Linked DNA regions of Arabidopsis thaliana. The protein of the gene in region 4 interacts with the protein of the main gene of each other region in a biochemical or structural test. Each region holds a gene or a part of one and is shown on either strand. Other genes may lie near its edges. The genes, in order: TIFY10B, JAZ5, JAZ11 and MYC3.

Region 1 (4,168 bases), on a different chromosome or scaffold from region 4:
GATCTTAGGTTCTTCGGGCTTATTAATCATAACGAATTTCGGACCAGTCTTTGGACCAAATTTACGTTTTGTTAGTTGGATGATCATTGTTCAAGACCGAACAAATCATTGTTCAAGACCGAACGAAAAAAAGTTATCGTGGGTCAGAATTCCCGTGGCCTACCAAGCCTGGTCTGATCTACTCCACTTATTGGATATTTATGAAGCTCTTTTTATTATGGACTTCGGATATTTTACAAAGTTATAACTAGTATTTTGGGAAAAACAAAATTGTAACTGGCTTGGTATTTTAACCAAAAATAGTCTACATAGTTTGTGCCATGTATTTAACAACAAAACGAAAATGCTAATACTATAATGGATAGATAGGTTAAAACGTATTTTGAACAATAGCAGACTTGTTAAAGAAAATCTTTCACACGACAATACTTGATAGAAAATCATCATTTTTTAGACATTTCTTTATTTTCGAGAATGCTTTAAGTATTTCTGTTCCTTAACTGTAAGCTTCAGCTCTCAATAAGTGACGAACAAACAATCGGATTAAATAAACTTGGATTATATTAATGGCCATCAACACAAAAACACAAGTGATGTTTCTTACAAAAGTTGCAAGCTAATGTTGAGATCGGCAGAGGAAAGGGTTATACACACTGGCTAAAACTTAAACCCCAGAAGCAAACATTGAACACTATTGATATTGATTTCATACAAATATAATGAGTTTTCGGGGGAGTTAAACAAACAAAACTACTAGGGGTGAAATTAATCTATAGAAAAAATGAACAGAGGAGCAGCTTGATATTTGTAACGATGGAGCATCAGAAGAATCTTACAAGAAGGTCTCTCAAGTTGTGCCTTCTGGGTCGGACAGGCTCGAAGTTTACCGTGAACTGAGCCAAGCTGGGTTAGTAGGCTTGGAAGACGCTTCAGCTGAACCGTCTATTTGGTATGGTGCCTTTGATGTGATCCTGTTAAAGGTTTACGAGTAGGATATTGAGAAATTCGCTTAACAAGAACTTATGGAATAACAAGATATTATGTTTTCATTAAAATGCATTACCTATCCTTCCTCTTCTCAAGGAACCGATGAAGTGAAGCTCTTCTTGCAATCGGGAGTTCTACAAATCAAAAAGAGAGAAAGTTAGAGAAATAGGACTAAGCCAAGCTCAGAGATGGTTGAACCAAAAGAGGCTGAGATCAATTACCGCAGGCTAAAGAGGCCGGGTTAGGCTGAATTGGCTCTTGTGCTGCGGTTTTTGCAGGACTACAAACAGGATTTGGGCTAGAAGCAATCTCTTTTTGAGAATAAGCACTATGGTTATTGTTTACTTCAGCTGTGAAACATGTGAAGCTTTTGGCACTTCCTTTGTTAGCCAAATCAATGACTTCTTTAGCTTTCTCAGCAGAAAAATCATCAAACACCATAACTCGACCACCGTAGAATATAGTCAACGGAGCAGATTGAGACTCTGGCTTCACAGATCTGTTCAAAATCACACAAAAATTAGTTAAACTGATGAAACATAGCTTACTATATGAGACGATTCTTTTCACTATATACATATAAACACATACTTAGTAGTCTCTTTGATCATCTGTACATCTTCTTTGGTCCCAGAGGAAGAGGAAGAAGAAAAGCTTGATTGTCTCGGAAACATAGTCTTCGGTTTAATGTCTTCTTGACCAGCAGAAGAATCCATTCCTGAAGCTTCACAAGGGAACAGATTCATCATTGTAGGCTGACGTGAACCTCCTGCGAAAATTGATCCAAAAGTAAAGATTATTATCATTCACCAATCTCTCAAACAACTGCAAAACAAAATCTACTTAATGACTAAACCAGGCCTATGGCTTTAGAGGATTATGCTTAAACCAAACACAGAACCATCTCCACAAATTCATACACATACATACATATATAGAAATTGATTCAAAATCCATTAATCATCGATTCTCTACAACGATTCAATTTCCAGACAACATGTAATCGATTCATAATTCGTAATTCGCAACAGGAAACTCAAAATTCGCAGAAACGAAATGAACAGATCTAAAAGAGAAAGGTTGATTACCATTAACGTCGGGCTTGCATGTCATCCCTAAGCTCAGATCTCCAAAACTACCCTTCTCCTTCAGGTAACGACTCAATCGAGTACATGTTTGTGAAAAGCTCGGTTTACGACCAGAGAAGTCCCAACACTCGGCAGAAAAACTCGACATCGTTGAAACCGAAATTGAAATCGTTTCGATTGAGAAATTGGAGCAAAAGGATCTTCCTTCCTGAGTTGTTGAATTTTCTCGAATCTTATAAAAAAACTTAGGGTTCTTGTTTATCTTTCTCTGCCAAGTGCGTTTTGTCACGAGGAAGAAATGGAGGACCTCTTTATTACTTTTTTTTCGCTGGTTGCAGATACGGAAATTAGTAAAATATACTCTTATAGTATTAATTAACATAGAGACATTTAAAACACGTGTTTTAATTTAATGTTTTAACGGCAGACCACTGTTTCAGATCACCACCGTCACCCACGTCCCCACGCTTCACACTTGAAATAACCATTTCACCCTCTTACTACTCCTGTTTTTACCATTTTACCCTTACAAGATGTTCAAATAAAATAAAAAATTATGAAAACGTAAAATCCTAAAATTAATTAGTTCAAACAAATCAATGTTCAGATGAAATTTGATTATGATAGTCTTTCAGTTATACCATTTAGTTGGTTCATATATCCTTTTTTTTAAGATGAATCTCTTGGCATTAATTTATGTATTTTTAGCACTATTAATTAGTCTACTATTTTAATCTCATAGACCGGCGTGATATTTTAGCACTCAAAGAGAATTAACGGTATGATTTGGGGGAAAAAAGAGGATTAACGGCGTTAGATAGAGGGAACACGGTGTGGGTCTTACATAACCAAAACTCCACCACCAATGCAAATTTGATCCATAAATCACGTTTTGTATTTTCCCTTTTATTAATTTTTTTTTAGTGTTTTATTTATGACAACAGTAATAAATAATTACAAAAAGCGGGAAGAGCACGTCTCCTCCATGAATCGCGACCTTACACGTGTCTAACTTAACTGCCCACATTTGAGAGAATTTTTCTTGTTGGTGTCGTAGTCAGAGTAATCACCTGTTACGCGGCTTATATAGCAGCTGTGTTCTCCTACGCACAATAGCCGTTGATCCTATCACTCTGTCTTTTATTCTCTTGTTATTATCCCATGCGTTTGTTAGGAACACACAAATAAGTTTGATTTTCTTTTATAACGTAACGTCCAACTTGTTATTTTATTGACTTGGATTGTAGTAATTGCTAACTCATTACAGGTACATCGAGATAACGTAAGGTTCATAGAGTGGCTCGTGAGAAAATAAGGATGATTGGTTAATTTGGTTTTTAACTGTTTTATAAACATCTTCACAAAATTTTATACATCACAAACATATCCATAAGAAACAAAATCAGAAGAAGCTGCAGGTACATACAATTACAAGGAAGAGGGGTCACAAGAAGAACCCAGAGCGCATAAAGACATCAAAGTCTGGATATTATTTAGAGTATGCAACCAAAAAGAAGAAGGCAAGTGGGGTGGTCACAAAAATGCAAGATAGAGGTCACAAGAAGAATAGAAGAACATAAGCTAATTAAGGAATAGTACTCTATATTCCTGTTTTTACTGTAGAAACTTTATCTACTTATGGCTCTCTTATACAAGGCTGATTGATACCCTTTTAGCCATGTTTTTATACTTGCTCTTGGTTTTCACAGCTGATTCATTCCTCTTCTTTCTTTCACATATTTAACAGAAAATAAGCTTACATATGAAAGTGGTAAAACATTGGGCCCTTGGAATATATTTTTTTAGTTTTTACCTTTCAAAAGATGATTTAGTTACTCTCTATATATGTAATTAACAAAGGGAAAACTGTCAAGAGCTACTAAATTTAAAATTGAGAATTGATTTGGCATTTTTTGAGATTTCATGTTAAACAATAGAAATGTAAAGACTACAAAGATTTCCAATAAGAAGGTATCACAAGAAACAGAATTTTAATGGCGAATCCAAACTCTGATATCTCTAGCACGTTTTAGCTCCTGTCCAAGTCTTTGGCTCATCAGATCTTGATCCTAAGAAACTTAGCTTAGCTCTTG
Region 2 (4,703 bases), on a different chromosome or scaffold from region 4:
ATCTTGGACCTTATACAACAAAAAAGAGAGAAAAACCAGTGAAATCGAGCTTGGGAAAAAGAGCCTAGAAACCCAAATCGAGCATGGAAATGGAAGAAGAATAGAGCAAACCTGTGGCGGGGCAAGGAGACCAGGATGGTAGAGAGACTGTTGCTGCATAAGAGCTTGCTGCATCATAACTTGTTGCTGCTGCTGCTGCTGCTTCAACCTCTGCATTTTCTCTCTCGGGGAAAAAATTATTGTCTTTGATTTTGCTTTTCGTTCCCAGGTAATGAAAATTGACACAGTGTTCTGTCTTTTAGGGTTCGAAAGTGTTTTCGGTGTTCGAGAAAAATGTAAGAAAAATGACAAAATATTAATAACAAAAAAAAAATGAAGAACAGGAAAAAAAAAAGGAAGTCTCTTGATAGAAAGCGAAGGAAGCAATCGAGTGGCTCTTACGAATTTTATTGGATTTATTATTTTTACACATCGATTAGCTAAAGTCACAGGCTGTAAGAAAATTTAAAAAGCAACAGCCAATGAACTCGTCCCACGTTAAACTTATGGCTCAGGCCCAATCACTGTCCAAATCAGACACGCCTTCAATGAACTTGAACCTGACAACTAATTACAATAAACACCCCTGAGTTTAGTGAAAACTTGATATACACTCCAATAATAATCATTTTCATAAATTACACCCTAAATAAATTAGAAAGGAGCTCTGATCACTTTCAACCATCTTTACCCGCATTACGATTGCAGTCAGATTCCTCTTCATGTTATTGCAGTCAGATCAATTCACAACTCCTAAATATTCTTCCTCTTGTCTAATTTGCTATTTCTCGCTTAACGTTATGTAATTTAACTCCCAAGTGTTGTACGTAGTTAACTAATTATAATATAACTTTACTATCGTCTATTGTGTTTATGAATGAATATTCAAGTTAGAATAAGATTACATACTGTAGTACAAAGCAAAATAAAATCACTTAGATAAGTCAGAAAAATCGAAACGTTAATCTAAAAACTCAGTTCCTACAAGAAATTTAGCAAATATTACTATAGCCTTAGATCGAGATCTTTCGAACTTTGGCCTTCTTCAATCTTCATAATATCATCTTTATCACCGTCTGATTTGATATGGGCCATGGTTTGACCAATGGCGTTATCCGGCGGTCTTTGTGACGACTGTCCTGCCTCTAGTGGTTGACCGGTTACAATCTCTGGCTTGGGAGGATAACGATGATGACCTGCGTTTTGGTTAACTTGGTACGGAGCCCTAGCCACAGCTCTGCAACAGAAAAATTAATAACGTAAATTACGAGGCTTGTTGAGGATAATTTAGGAGAACTTATATCAGAGGGAGGATCCTTAAACTTTTGAGTTTTGAACTAACTAGAGTGATTGGAAATTTGGAACATTAAAACAAGTTTCAAAAAGTATGATAAGGTTAAATACCTGTCTTTCCGTTTAGCAAAGAATCGATGGAGGGAAGCTCTACGTGCTATACGTTCCACGATCTGATTTTGTTCTTGTTGCTGTTGTTGTTCCTTTGTTAGGTGATTATTATCAGTAGGCTCATTGAGATCAGGAAGAACCATGCTGCTCTTGTTGTTGTTGTTTTCGTCATTGATTGGTGTCTGAATGTTAATCTCAGTCACAGGCTTGGCTTGTTTTGCTACTTCCATAATCTCTTTAGCTTTGTCTACGGGGAACTCATTATATACTAAAACTTTCCCTCCGAAGAATATGGTCAGCTGCGAACTTCCTGGCTGTGATTCACTGCAAACCAAAAACAGATTTCAGAACAAAACCAATTTTAACCGGATTAACCGATTATCCTTTTCTCTAATCTCCAATAACCAAAAACAACAAGTATTCCCAAGGAACAAAAGGAGAGACCTGAGGTCAGCAACATCTTTGACTTTGCCTCCTGATGAGGTAGAGGGTTCGCCTTTGGAATGCCCTGCCTTATGCATCGCATTTTGTTTCCCTGCATAAAGAGAATAAAAACTTTCGTGAACTATAATAACTTTAGAAAAATGATATAGCATCTTATATCTTTGGAATTTTATTAACCACATCTCAATCAATTTCTATATCAACTTATTCGTTATTTTTGTTACTTGTCTTCATAATTACAAGGAGAAATTATTTCTGAAGTAAGGAACTGACTTACAAATGAAGAAACAATACAAAAGTAGTAAATCTGGCAAAAGCAAGTAGTAACAGAACTGAGTTTTTAAAGTACTATTACCAAGTGGCGGCCATGAAAGAAGAAAGAGATAATAAAAGTACCTGGTGGATCGAATTTTCCGGGCAACGCGAGACTGGAATCGGGTTTTCGGTATAAGCCAAGATCAATGTTTCCGAAACTACCCTTCTCCTTCAAGTAACGGCTGAGCAAACTACATCTCCGGGTAAAGTCAGATTTCTCCGGCGCTTGTGCCTTAGCATTTTCATTGCTCGACGACATGTTGTTGTTTATTGAGAAGAAAGAATTCTCCACACTTACTTTTTAAAGATATTCTTTATCTCTTCTTTTCTTTTCTTTTTGTTGGTGCGTGGATTGCGCGTAAAATGGAAGAGTACAAGAGGCTACTAGCTCAATAGCTCATGTGTTTATAAACTCATTCACCCAATAAGTTTCTGTGACTTTAATAGCCTCTCATAAATTAATGAAAACAAAAATAAATAGGAACTTTTTAGTTTCTTAAAAATATTTCAATATATTGTGACCAAAATAGAATTAAACTTCTCAATAATAAATTTATTAACAACAACCAAAAAAACCAAAAAACAAATCTTACATAAAGCCATGAGATTATATCATATTTAGTAATATTCCATCGCATGCATTTTTAACTAGTTAAAGAACTATATCTAGTGTGAAGAAAGGAATTTTCATCCATGATTAATAGTAAGAAAATTAATGTTAATAATCCATCATTGTGCAAGTAATTTATCTATTGTTTTATGAGTTGGTACAACAAATTTATTGCCCTGTCTTATCATAAAAATATGTTCACCTCTTGTTTCTTGTTTGGCACAGTTTAGTTGTCTACCATCAACGGCCAGATTTCAAAATTGGACTACTTTTTTATATATATTTTCGGTTAGAATTTACCGCACGTTTTCCTTACGCGTAACGATAAAAGAGAAAAAGAATAAAGATTTCAGAACCGACGGCAAACGTTATTAAACGGCGTATGTCACAAATTCGTAAAAGACTCGAAATTTGATCGTATTTACAAAATTTGCCCTTCCACAAGAGCACATTACCAACTCCAGTGATGGCATCATCGTAATAGAAACAACTTTCATGGCCTTTTTTTACATCACCGCGACGTTCCTCACGTTAGTTAACAAACTTAACGGCGGTGCGAATTGAATAGTAAGTGGACCAATGTGGGATCCTACCATCAAACCCCTACGAAGTTTCATGTGCCATAAAAATTCAAAGTCTCCGATACGATCCGACAGAAGTTTTTTGATTAAAACACGTGGTTTAAATAGAACAGACCGTCAAGATTGTGACACGTATCGCAATCTGTACGACGCACTAGCAACAGTATCGTGTGAATCGCGTTTTTCCCACTTTCCTATAGAAAGAAAAAAGGAAAAATCTTAAGATCACCTAATCAGTTTGGTCAAAAATAAAATTGATGGATCAATTGACCGAACTGCCCCTTTCACGGATGCCCATAATAATCAATACGTTCGTTGGTTGCTTCAAAACTACGACTCGTTCAAAAAAACGTGTTCGGGGAAAATGATACCAAAGATATAAAAAGTTTAGATGTGACTTAGTTTAATAAGTGTTGTTGATGGGACTAAATGAAGCAAGATTAGAGCAAACCGAGTGATCGGCCAATTGATCGAACCAGATTGTCAAACCGGTTTGGTAACTCGTTACCCCTAGCTACGCCACTACACTACTTGCATTGTTGCAAAGACCAAGTGGCTGTTGTGTTTTGGAAAAAAAAAAAACGTTCTGGGGTTTAGAAAAATTGGGTAGCGAATGGGTCCTTTTGAAAGTGATATTTTTTTTTGTAGAAGAGGGGGGCGAACCCCCATTTTTATTAAAACTGAAAAAACTAAAAAAATTACACTTGAACGTTCCGGGGGTACGCAGACCCCGCTACATCATCGTGAACAATCGACATAACAATATCCGGAGTAGAATTAAACAAATGAAAACCTAACGGTAAAAAAAAAGCATAGTTAGCTAACCCATCCGCGAGACGATTAGCTTCTCTATACACATGCGAAATCCGGACTGACCAGTCCTTTGAAAGTAAGCCATGGCACAACCGCACCAGGAAGGACAGCGGATGCGAATCATCAATCCCTGTCCGAAGAAAACCCACTACCATCTCCGAATCAATCTCCATCTCCAACTGTGTGACACCGCGCTCCCAAGCGATATTTAAACCGTAATATGCTCCCCATAGTTCCGCAAGCGGAGCCGAACAAATTCCAATATTCAACGAAAACCCATAACACCAATTTCCATCCCCGTCTCGAACTACTCCACCTGCTGTAGCTAGTCTCGGGTTACCACGCGAAGCACCATCAGTATTGAGCTTAAACCAACCCACCCTTGGCGGAGACCACGCAATCAATCTCTCCTCCCTAGCTGTCCGCGTCGTCACTCCCATTTTGTGCACATGCGCCTTCCAAACATCCAACGCACGATCCTTAATAAAACGAACCCG
Region 3 (4,865 bases), on a different chromosome or scaffold from region 4:
GTTGCCGTTTGTGAACCCTTTAAATTACAAATTTGTATGTAAAATCCTTAAATACTTTAAAAGATGATCAAAGTTAAAGTTATCCCAAAATTTATTTGCATTGTTTCGTTGAATGATGTGGTAGCATTAGTCTTTGATCTTAGAGATTTGGTCTTGAAAAATGCACATATATAATTTATTACAAGTTTATACGGGATCATTTTGTAGATATATTTATGTAAATATAAAAAAAGTTAGAAAATATTTTTTTATTTTGATGATTTCAGTCGGATGATTGAGTGGTTATGGTAGCGCTACCAAAATATTTCATAATTTTGATGTTTTTATGAGTTATGATGTATAAATCATTTATAATAAATATGTTATGTTTCATCGTTTGTCATAACTTGGGCACATGTTAAATATATGTACTAAAAAATTATGCCGACCTGTTCACTTTTAGTGACCGACCCTAAATTGAAATGACCAAAAACTGGATTGGCTTGGTTTGAAAATTTTGGTTCTGGTAATAATCACATGCCTAACCAGACCTGAAAATTTTGATCTGAGGTCCCTACTAATCTCTCCGGTTAGTATTTGATGATTTCTCTGTATGTTTCTTGGTCGTGATTTGCTTATAAGGACACTAAGTCTTTCATGGTCATTTTTGAGTACTCTTGTGTTCTTATATAGCTCTGAGACCTTATCATACAGCATCAACATACATTGTGAAGAAAAAGAAATCATCTTCCTCAAAGAGGAGGTGCGAGATGATAAACACATCAAATCACAAACATGGAAAACAATTTTGTGTTTTGTCTAAGAAACATAGGCAGATGATTATCGTACAACAACGGAAGGCTTATATATGAGCTGTGTTAATCTTGTCAAAGATAACTGTGATACTGAGTTGCTTCGAAAGTAAGGTTTGAGGTTAGCTTACAGTCTTGGAGCTCATGTCACAATGGGGCTGGTTTCATTTTTGTCTGCTTCCGAAGTCGTAGCAGAGTAAGGCTTCGTGTGGACAAATCTGAAAATAAAGAGGGTCCAAGTTACTATTAGATGAAATCTAATGGTCAAACTCATAGGTGAGTGATGGAGAAAGATGAGAGTATATGTTTATAAAACAAGCACTGCAGATATGCCTACCGATGCCGTCTTTTCTCAAAAAATCTTTGAAGTGAACGTCTCCTAGCAATTGGCACATCTGAGATAAACATGCATCTTACATAAAGCTCATGGGGTTTTCCATACTCGGACTATATAACGTTTACGGTAATCCAATGTAGCAAGTCCTTACCTGCTGTCGATACGCAAGCTACTGTTGATGCGTTTGAGAATGAAATAGCTCTCTTTAATGCTGGATTTATACTGGTCAAATTAATTGTCTCAGTGGCTTTAGCTGCAGCAGCGATATGCAGAATTTCTTGAACCTATTAAGTGTGATCACCAAGAGAACAAGAAATCTCATGCAACTGCTTCCCAACAAAAACGAAATACGAATGTACTCAAAACTTGGATGGACCAAACCTTTTCAGCTGGAATACCATCAAATACGCTAAAACTCCCACCAAAAATAATGGTTAGTTGACTTGGAAGGATCATTGAACCATCTGGCTTCGTGGACCTTCAATAGAAGAAACAAGAGCTAGTTATGAATGATGGAAGATAATAATAATCCACCCAAATTTTAAGACCCTATTGATGCAAAAGGGAGAAGAACAAAATAGTGATTCCACTACAATATTACAGCCGCTTAGGCTATCAACTAACCTCAGTCCCATCAATACATCAGTTCAAACAACCTACTAAATTTAAATCATCTGATGATGTCATCTAACAGTAGATAGAAGGCTATTTTTGCATTCAACGGTACCAAAATCAAACACACAAGCCTAGTTCAAATTCAAGCTCATAAAACCGATACTAAAGAATGGGCAACAACATCTAATGTATTTGTGAGGCATGATCACTAAGAAATACACAATTATCTGGTGGCCATAAGTCAGCCAAATATGATATAGAAGTAGAATAATACATGAGAATAAAAGCTTAAACACTTGTAAGAAAAAAAACTAAAAGACTATCTCAGTTTCCGAAACCAGTCAATGTATACAAATTAACATTCACATAGATCCAGTCTCTTCATTTGCTTAAGCTTCAACAACCTACCTACACATGAAAATTCCTAAATGCAAGAACAATATTTGACGTCACAAACTAATACATACTAACAAATCAGATTCATACACACTAACACTTCCAGAACTATCAATATGTTAATAAAGCAAACACTGAATATCTAACTACCTGTCCCGTCTCTTCTCGAGAAATCTTTGAAGCGAACGTCTCCTAGCAATTGGAAGATCTGAGACAAACAGGGATTAATAGTCCGTAACTCCGTAGATAATGCTTACAGTAACCGAATGAAGCAATTGCTTACCAGCTACAGTTGAGAAAGAAAGAGCTCTGTTCAGTGCTGGATTGATACCGGTCACATTCTTCGTCTGTTTACCAGCAAAAGCGATGCGAATGATTTCTTGAACCTATTAAGCATTGATCACCAATACAATTAGAAACTCTGATGCAACCAACATAAACAAAATCAGAATGTATGTACTCAAAGCTAGATGGACCAAACCTTTTGTGCAGGGACACCATTGAAGACTCTACAACTCCCACCAAAGATAATAGTAAGTTGAGTTGAAGCATCTGGCTCTGTGGACCTTGAAACAAGAGTTTGAAATTAAACCTCTTGAGTTTCCCAAATTGATCTGCTAATTTAACAATTCATATAGATCCAAGTCTCGTCAATTGCTCACGCTCCTATAGTGTACTAAGAACTAACAAATCACAGAACTATAGGCTAAGAAAAAACTTCAAACACAAAGACAGATAAAGAGAAATGAGAATTAACGATTCAAATTGATTCCAGTTACTAGTGATACATACCTAGCTTCGTGAATCGATCTCTCAACGAGCAAGTCAAGTCCGGCGGAAACAGAACCGGTCCCGTCGGCGAAACTAGGAACGGGGAAATCTCCGTTTACCTCAGCCATGAGCCTCTCTGTGAATAATATCTGTCTTCTCCGTTTGATTGGGAATTGGTTCTCTTCTCTACGCAACGTTCGTTATTCGGTGTATTCATTATTCAATCAATTTTGTTTTCTTTTTGTTTTTCTCAGAAATATTCCAAAAAAACCTCAACTATTTGATTATTTTATATATCTAACTACTTATCTAATAAGTAATAATGCCTTACCAAAAAAAAAAACTACTTATCTAATAATACCTATTTATTTTCATTTGTTCTTGTAATATAGACAACTATTTAAAAAAATAAAATAGTGGACAATTTTGTTCGATGTGAAAAACTTAATACTCTTTACGCATCCTTTTTAGTACATGCATACCGCCGTTATCGTATTGCTAAAATAAATTAAATAAGATATATTAACACAAAGCTAACTATATAATTATGATGAAAAAATCAAAATATGTAAATTAGTCGAAGAACATTGAATCATTTTGATATTGAGGAACCAAAAATTAGAAAGAAATAAGCAAAAAAAAAAGAAATAGAGAAACGATTTGGTTTTTAAAGTTTGAAAATCTAAAAAGTAAAAATATATGAAAAGAGAATTAAAAATGAGACACTCATATCATTTTTCTATGATAATTTCCAAAAAGGCAAAAACGTATAAACTAAAAAAATACAAAGTAAATAAGAAATTTCTTTTCGTTTCAAAAAAAAAAGAATTAATTTTTTAAGGATAAAACTATAATTTGTTTTTAGAGCGTATGTATAATCTGCCAATATTTCTAGTTTGGGTTTTATTTGTCACTAATAAATTAGTTTGAGTTTTTTGACAACCGAAAAAGTTGAGGTTTTTTTGGCAAATTTTAATAGTTGAAGTTTTTTTTGGGAATTTTCTCTTCTATTTAAAACTCTATGTCGTAAAAGGTACAACAGTGGAAGCTTCCACTTCACCAACAATTCAGCTTATAAGCGGAGACCCAACTTAAAAAGTCCAATCCATAAAGATACCCCTTTAAGGAACTAAGAAATATAACAAATCCAACACAAAACCATGTGTGAGCCTATGAAGTAAAGTTGAAGTAGATGTTGTCGCCGTTCGCCGCTCATAGCCGATATGGTACGAAGCGTAAGGGAACTCCAAAACTACCGAAAACCGTCAGAGCTTCAAGAAATAAGTCCACAGGTTTTTAACTAGAGAATCCTACCAACTACATCATCAAATCTGTAAAGAAAAGATCTTCACAAGGGCAATGACTCCCGAACTCCAAAGAACATCAACGTAGATATTAAGCCGATGGAGCTTTTCAGCAACACCTAAAAACAAAAAGGAAAACACTCGTGTCCATAGATCAATTAGACAAATAGCCTCAATTGTAGATCATTCGCCATCTGAGATCGATTCCAGTGAGAAAAATCATCATTGATTATAAAAGCAAGCTTGATTCTTCTAGGTTTCATTGTTCATAAACCAATCGAACATCAAAATAGAGATTTACAGCTAAAAGCAATATTAGTGTGCAATGAAATTGTTTTCTTTTCTGCAACTTAAGATGTAACTCTTTGGATTGATTCCTGCAAATCGCAAACTCAAAAGATCAAATTGGATAATAAACACCTTTAAGCAAAAAAACACCTAAATTTCCAATAGAGGATCTATGAGATTATTGAAAGAAAAAAAAAAAAAAAAACATCAGATACACTGATAAGAAAAGTAGATCCGGCCAACGATGGTCATGGAATTCGAACGCTGTCAGGCAAGAGCCAGCCATCACTGCTAAAAACGACAGAGATGTTAGATATAAAACCCAACTATATTAAAACACATAAACGTCGGAATGCCATCAGG
Region 4 (4,881 bases):
AAATAATTGTTAAATCCAAAAAATCGACTTGTTATGGAAGTACATTAAGGTATTAAATTAGGTTATCTTCACTAATTCCTCTCGAACCTTTTACTTTCTTTCTTTTTTGATAAAGTAAAACTTTTTACTTGATACAATGTTTCTGTGACATGTAACATGTTTATCAATGTCTTGTAAGAAAACTGGCAAGAAGTAGAGATATTTTATTATGTAATGTCAATAATCATATGTTAGTGTACGATTAGTGGGTCTAAAGTCGTTTTGTAATTACATCATCCACGAGAATCACGTGAGCTGGATCATTTTAGCCATCGTGATTAACCATTGAATATTATTGTACATGTTGTCCTTTTCACTGACTACTTTTCTTCTTCTTTCTTTTTTTTTCTGGATATTTTGTTTATAAGTAATGGTTGGCATTATCATGTGTAGTTCTTTGTCAATAATCATGTGTAACTTTGACAAAAAAATCATATGTAACGTTTTAAAAAATTATATACTTTGGTTGGTCATTATAGTTTTAGCCAAACGATAAAAAATTTGATGAAAAAAATGTGGTTAAAGAAAACTTACAGTATACCGTGACAAAAATATGAAGATTGTTAATAAATAGATATGTCAATTATGGTGACAGAAACATGGAAAGCAGACAGACGATGCCTAGACAGAGGACCCAAACAATTAAAGTGGGCTACACAACATAATTCCAATATTTAAAAAAAGAAAAAAACAATTTAAAATGTCTAAGAAAAAATAAATTCGAATATGAATTTTATAGAGAAAATACAAATTTTATACGTTAATTTCTTCCTCTTTCAAAAATTGAACGGAAGTTGCTATGTTGTTGGATACATTATTATTTGAATATATATTACAAATAATTTTTAGGACTAGCAAATCATTTTTTGAGTTTTCTTTTTATGGTTTTCGTAGTCAACTCCACAACCGATAGTTTTACATCGATGCTTGTACAATTTTACAGTTTGACAGATGGTACTGTACTACGACATACGGTTCTATGCACCACACTAAAATCTCTAGATAGAAATCGTTTCCATTAATCTTCAATAATTTGTAATCTATGAAAATCAAACTTCATATATGGTGTGATGAAGTATTAATGGATATTTAGTTAACCATTACACCAAAAAAAAATTTACACCGGATAATTATTTGAAAACGTAAATTTCATATTAACGGTTCAAACTGATTTTTAATAAAATGAACATAATGAAATGATATTTAAAAAAAAAAGATGATTGGAGAAAGAAAACACTTTTAGTTTTTTCATATATATTTATTTTCCTATAACTAACATAAAATCAGTTGAAATATTATTTTAAATTCCTAACTTAATTGATATAAATTGAGTAGAATCTATTTTTTTCCTTTTAAAAATGCAATTCTTTTTTGCAGTTTAAAATATTAATTTATATGAAAAATAAAATTTATATTTTAGATTTCTAACTTATGAAATTTTGAATTATAGCATTGGTCCATATTCGAAACTCTAAGTCACTATATCACCATAAATGGATTATTTATTAGTTTTTTCTCCATAAAACAATAAGTGGCTATGTGATAATAAACGGATCTAAGTTATGTTTCAGACAAAACAGTGTCCAAACGAGAATTATCACTCCATGAATAATTTATTTACGTTTTCGTAACAGTTAACCAAATTATTATCGTTTGGTTTTTGTCATATAATATGTCGCAACTCTCAACAAAAACTTAAGAAAATAAGAAAAAATTATTTACAATTGTTTTAGAAAAACAATAAAAATAAAATATAGTATTGTAGAGAGAATCATCTTCTCCAAACAATCACTAAACGCCATTTGCTTAGCTTTTTCCCTCTTTTGATTTTTCCTCCCTACACGTCACCTCTCTCTTCTTCTCACCGGAAAAAAGTCTTCACCTTTCACCGGAAAATATCACCTTTTCAACCGGCGTATGTTCACATGAACGGCACAACATCATCAATCAACTTCTTGACCTCCGACGATGACGCGTCGGCGGCGGCTATGGAAGCTTTCATTGGAACAAACCACCACTCATCTCTCTTTCCTCCACCACCACAACAACCACCTCAGCCTCAGTTCAACGAAGATACTCTTCAACAACGTCTCCAAGCTTTAATAGAATCCGCCGGAGAAAACTGGACTTACGCTATCTTCTGGCAGATCTCACACGACTTCGATTCATCCACCGGAGATAACACAGTGATCCTCGGCTGGGGAGATGGTTACTACAAAGGAGAGGAAGATAAAGAGAAGAAGAAGAACAACACCAACACGGCGGAGCAAGAGCATCGGAAAAGAGTAATACGTGAGCTTAACTCGTTAATCTCCGGCGGAATTGGGGTTTCCGATGAATCAAACGATGAAGAAGTAACAGATACTGAATGGTTCTTCTTAGTTTCGATGACTCAAAGCTTCGTTAACGGTGTTGGTCTCCCCGGAGAATCTTTCTTAAACTCTCGTGTGATTTGGTTATCCGGGTCTGGTGCTTTAACCGGGTCGGGTTGTGAAAGAGCGGGTCAAGGTCAGATTTACGGGTTAAAGACGATGGTGTGTATCGCGACTCAAAACGGCGTCGTTGAGCTTGGTTCGTCGGAGGTTATAAGTCAAAGCTCAGATCTGATGCATAAAGTTAACAACTTGTTTAATTTCAACAACGGTGGTGGAAACAATGGTGTTGAAGCTTCTTCGTGGGGTTTTAATCTGAATCCAGATCAAGGAGAGAATGATCCAGCTTTGTGGATTAGTGAACCGACGAACACCGGAATCGAATCTCCGGCGAGGGTTAATAATGGTAATAACTCGAATTCTAATTCTAAGTCTGATTCTCATCAAATTTCTAAGCTTGAGAAGAATGATATTAGCTCTGTAGAGAATCAGAATCGTCAAAGTTCGTGTCTTGTCGAGAAAGATTTGACCTTTCAAGGTGGGTTGTTGAAATCTAATGAGACTTTGAGTTTCTGTGGTAATGAGAGTAGTAAGAAGAGAACTTCGGTATCTAAAGGGAGTAATAATGATGAAGGGATGCTTTCGTTTAGTACTGTGGTTAGATCAGCTGCGAATGATTCGGATCATTCTGATCTTGAAGCATCTGTTGTTAAGGAAGCGATTGTTGTTGAGCCACCGGAGAAGAAGCCGAGGAAACGGGGGAGGAAACCGGCGAATGGGAGAGAAGAGCCGTTGAATCATGTTGAAGCAGAGAGGCAGAGAAGAGAGAAGTTAAACCAGAGATTCTACTCTTTGAGAGCTGTTGTTCCTAACGTTTCGAAGATGGATAAAGCTTCGCTTCTCGGAGACGCGATTTCGTATATCAATGAGCTTAAGTCGAAGCTGCAGCAAGCGGAGTCTGATAAAGAGGAGATTCAGAAGAAGCTAGATGGGATGAGTAAGGAAGGGAATAATGGGAAAGGTTGCGGGTCAAGGGCAAAAGAACGGAAAAGTTCGAATCAAGATTCTACGGCGAGTTCTATAGAAATGGAGATTGATGTTAAGATCATAGGTTGGGATGTGATGATACGTGTACAATGCGGCAAGAAAGATCATCCCGGTGCTAGGTTCATGGAAGCACTTAAGGAATTGGATTTGGAAGTGAATCATGCGAGTTTATCCGTTGTGAATGATTTGATGATTCAACAAGCTACGGTGAAGATGGGGAGCCAATTTTTCAATCATGACCAGCTCAAAGTTGCTTTGATGACGAAAGTCGGAGAAAACTATTGAACAAAGTTGGCATATCAAAGAGGGGAAACTAGTGTTTTCATCGATGAAATGGGATCGAATTTAGCGGGTAATGTATGGTCTTTTGTAAAGTAGTAAGTACTCATTTTGCATCACTCGCTTCATGTTGTTAAATGTTGTTGTTCATTAGGAGAACTTGCTTAGTTCTTAGCTTAGTGTTATCATAAGCCTTAAGTGAGAAGGAAGTTGGAGACTAGAAGACCAGAGAGAGTTAGCGAAATAATAAAATCTTTGGTTGTACTTGTATGTATATATATGTATGGAGTAAGATTAAGTGAGATCCTAAATTCTATTGAAGTTTTTTTATTCTATGATTGAATTTTTTTGTTAGTTTGTAACTTTGTAGTGTACATAAAGGTCCAAATTTATGAACTGTAGTGTACCAAAAAGCTGAGGAAAATAAGTGGTTGTAAATGGGTTTTGCCTAGAGATAGTGCTCTTATCTTTGTAAGGGGGTATGAGGAAACTGTTTATAATGCCAAAAATGTGGAGACATGTGTGATTTGTTTGTAAAAGAAACTAAAAGTTAAACCAAAGATTTGTTAGTTTTAAGTAATGAGTAGGAAGTCTTTTAGTGCCTATCTTATCTTATCTTATGTGTGAGTTTGAGTATATCTCTATGTTTAGAGAGCCGTGTGATCTACCTATGTTTCTTAATTCTTATAGTCTTGTGTACATTAGTAACGACTAGTCTTTAAGTAGTTTAGTAACATATATACCGCAAAAATCAAGATTTTCCGAATATTCTTTTTGGAACTGAGTTTGTAGTATCACAATTTGAATTTAAATCCGAAAATTTGCTAGTAGGTTTAGTCTCAAATTTTTGTTTAAACCAAAATGTGAAGGCATTTGATTTTCTGCAAACATGAAGAACATTTACTGCATAATCAACAATGAAAGTTGCCAATAAGCTACTTTTCTCCACCATTGATGAGTTCTAATTAAAAACCACCAACTTAAGTTTTCATAATAAATTGAAAAATACTTTTCATGTAGTACCATAAAGTTGACCCCTCCTCTTTAAAGGATGTTAGAAAATTATAGCCATCTTTCATCTATCTTAGGTATATGTATATTAAATAGTTGTTCACTCATTCGTTCACACTATAATTTTGTAATG

Evidence for each region.
Region 1: the proteins of MYC3 (region 4) and TIFY10B form a complex in vitro, tested with the Arabidopsis thaliana proteins (one study listed by BioGRID).
Region 2: the proteins of MYC3 (region 4) and JAZ5 form a complex in vitro, tested with the Arabidopsis thaliana proteins (one study listed by BioGRID).
Region 3: the proteins of MYC3 (region 4) and JAZ11 form a complex in vitro, tested with the Arabidopsis thaliana proteins (one study listed by BioGRID).

The regions. Positions count from the first base shown.
Region 1 is NC_003070.9:28,148,036-28,152,203, forward strand, and holds TIFY10B (TIFY domain/Divergent CCT motif family protein), read right to left. Parts: upstream 2,412-4,168; 5' UTR 2,224-2,411; coding exon 2,076-2,223; intron 1,757-2,075; coding exon 1,579-1,756; intron 1,487-1,578; coding exon 1,209-1,486; intron 1,122-1,208; coding exon 1,064-1,121; coding exon of another isoform or gene 1,060-1,063; exon of another isoform or gene 972-1,059; coding exon 884-971; 3' UTR 540-883; downstream 1-539. UniProt on the Arabidopsis thaliana protein: Repressor of jasmonate responses. Jasmonoyl-isoleucine (JA-Ile) specifically promotes COI1-TIFY10B/JAZ2 interaction. Activated by MYC2, MYC3 and MYC4 transcription factors.
Region 2 is NC_003070.9:5,954,610-5,959,312, forward strand, and holds JAZ5 (jasmonate-zim-domain protein 5), read right to left. Parts: upstream 2,903-4,703; 5' UTR 2,462-2,902; coding exon 2,284-2,461; exon of another isoform or gene 2,070-2,283; coding exon of another isoform or gene 1,979-2,069; coding exon 1,888-1,978; intron 1,768-1,887; coding exon 1,444-1,767; coding exon of another isoform or gene 1,377-1,443; exon of another isoform or gene 1,277-1,376; coding exon 1,045-1,276; 3' UTR 546-1,044; downstream 1-545. Other genes in the region: UBP1B (oligouridylate binding protein 1B), read right to left, coding at 112-216. UniProt on the Arabidopsis thaliana protein: Repressor of jasmonate responses.
Region 3 is NC_003074.8:15,365,843-15,370,707, reverse strand, and holds JAZ11 (jasmonate-zim-domain protein 11), read right to left. Parts: upstream 3,163-4,865; 5' UTR 3,039-3,162; coding exon 2,932-3,038; intron 2,706-2,931; coding exon 2,621-2,705; intron 2,526-2,620; coding exon 2,423-2,525; intron 2,348-2,422; coding exon 2,290-2,347; intron 1,607-2,289; coding exon 1,510-1,606; intron 1,413-1,509; coding exon 1,280-1,412; intron 1,187-1,279; coding exon 1,129-1,186; intron 1,010-1,128; coding exon 934-1,009; 3' UTR 551-933; downstream 1-550. UniProt on the Arabidopsis thaliana protein: Repressor of jasmonate (JA) responses. Targets MYC2, MYC3 and MYC4 that are JA-dependent transcription activators.
Region 4 is NC_003076.8:18,972,267-18,977,147, forward strand, and holds MYC3 (Basic helix-loop-helix (bHLH) DNA-binding family protein), read left to right. Parts: upstream 1-1,755; 5' UTR 1,756-1,964; coding exon 1,965-3,743; 3' UTR 3,744-4,324; downstream 4,325-4,881. UniProt on the Arabidopsis thaliana protein: Transcription factor involved in tryptophan, jasmonic acid (JA) and other stress-responsive gene regulation. With MYC2 and MYC4, controls additively subsets of JA-dependent responses.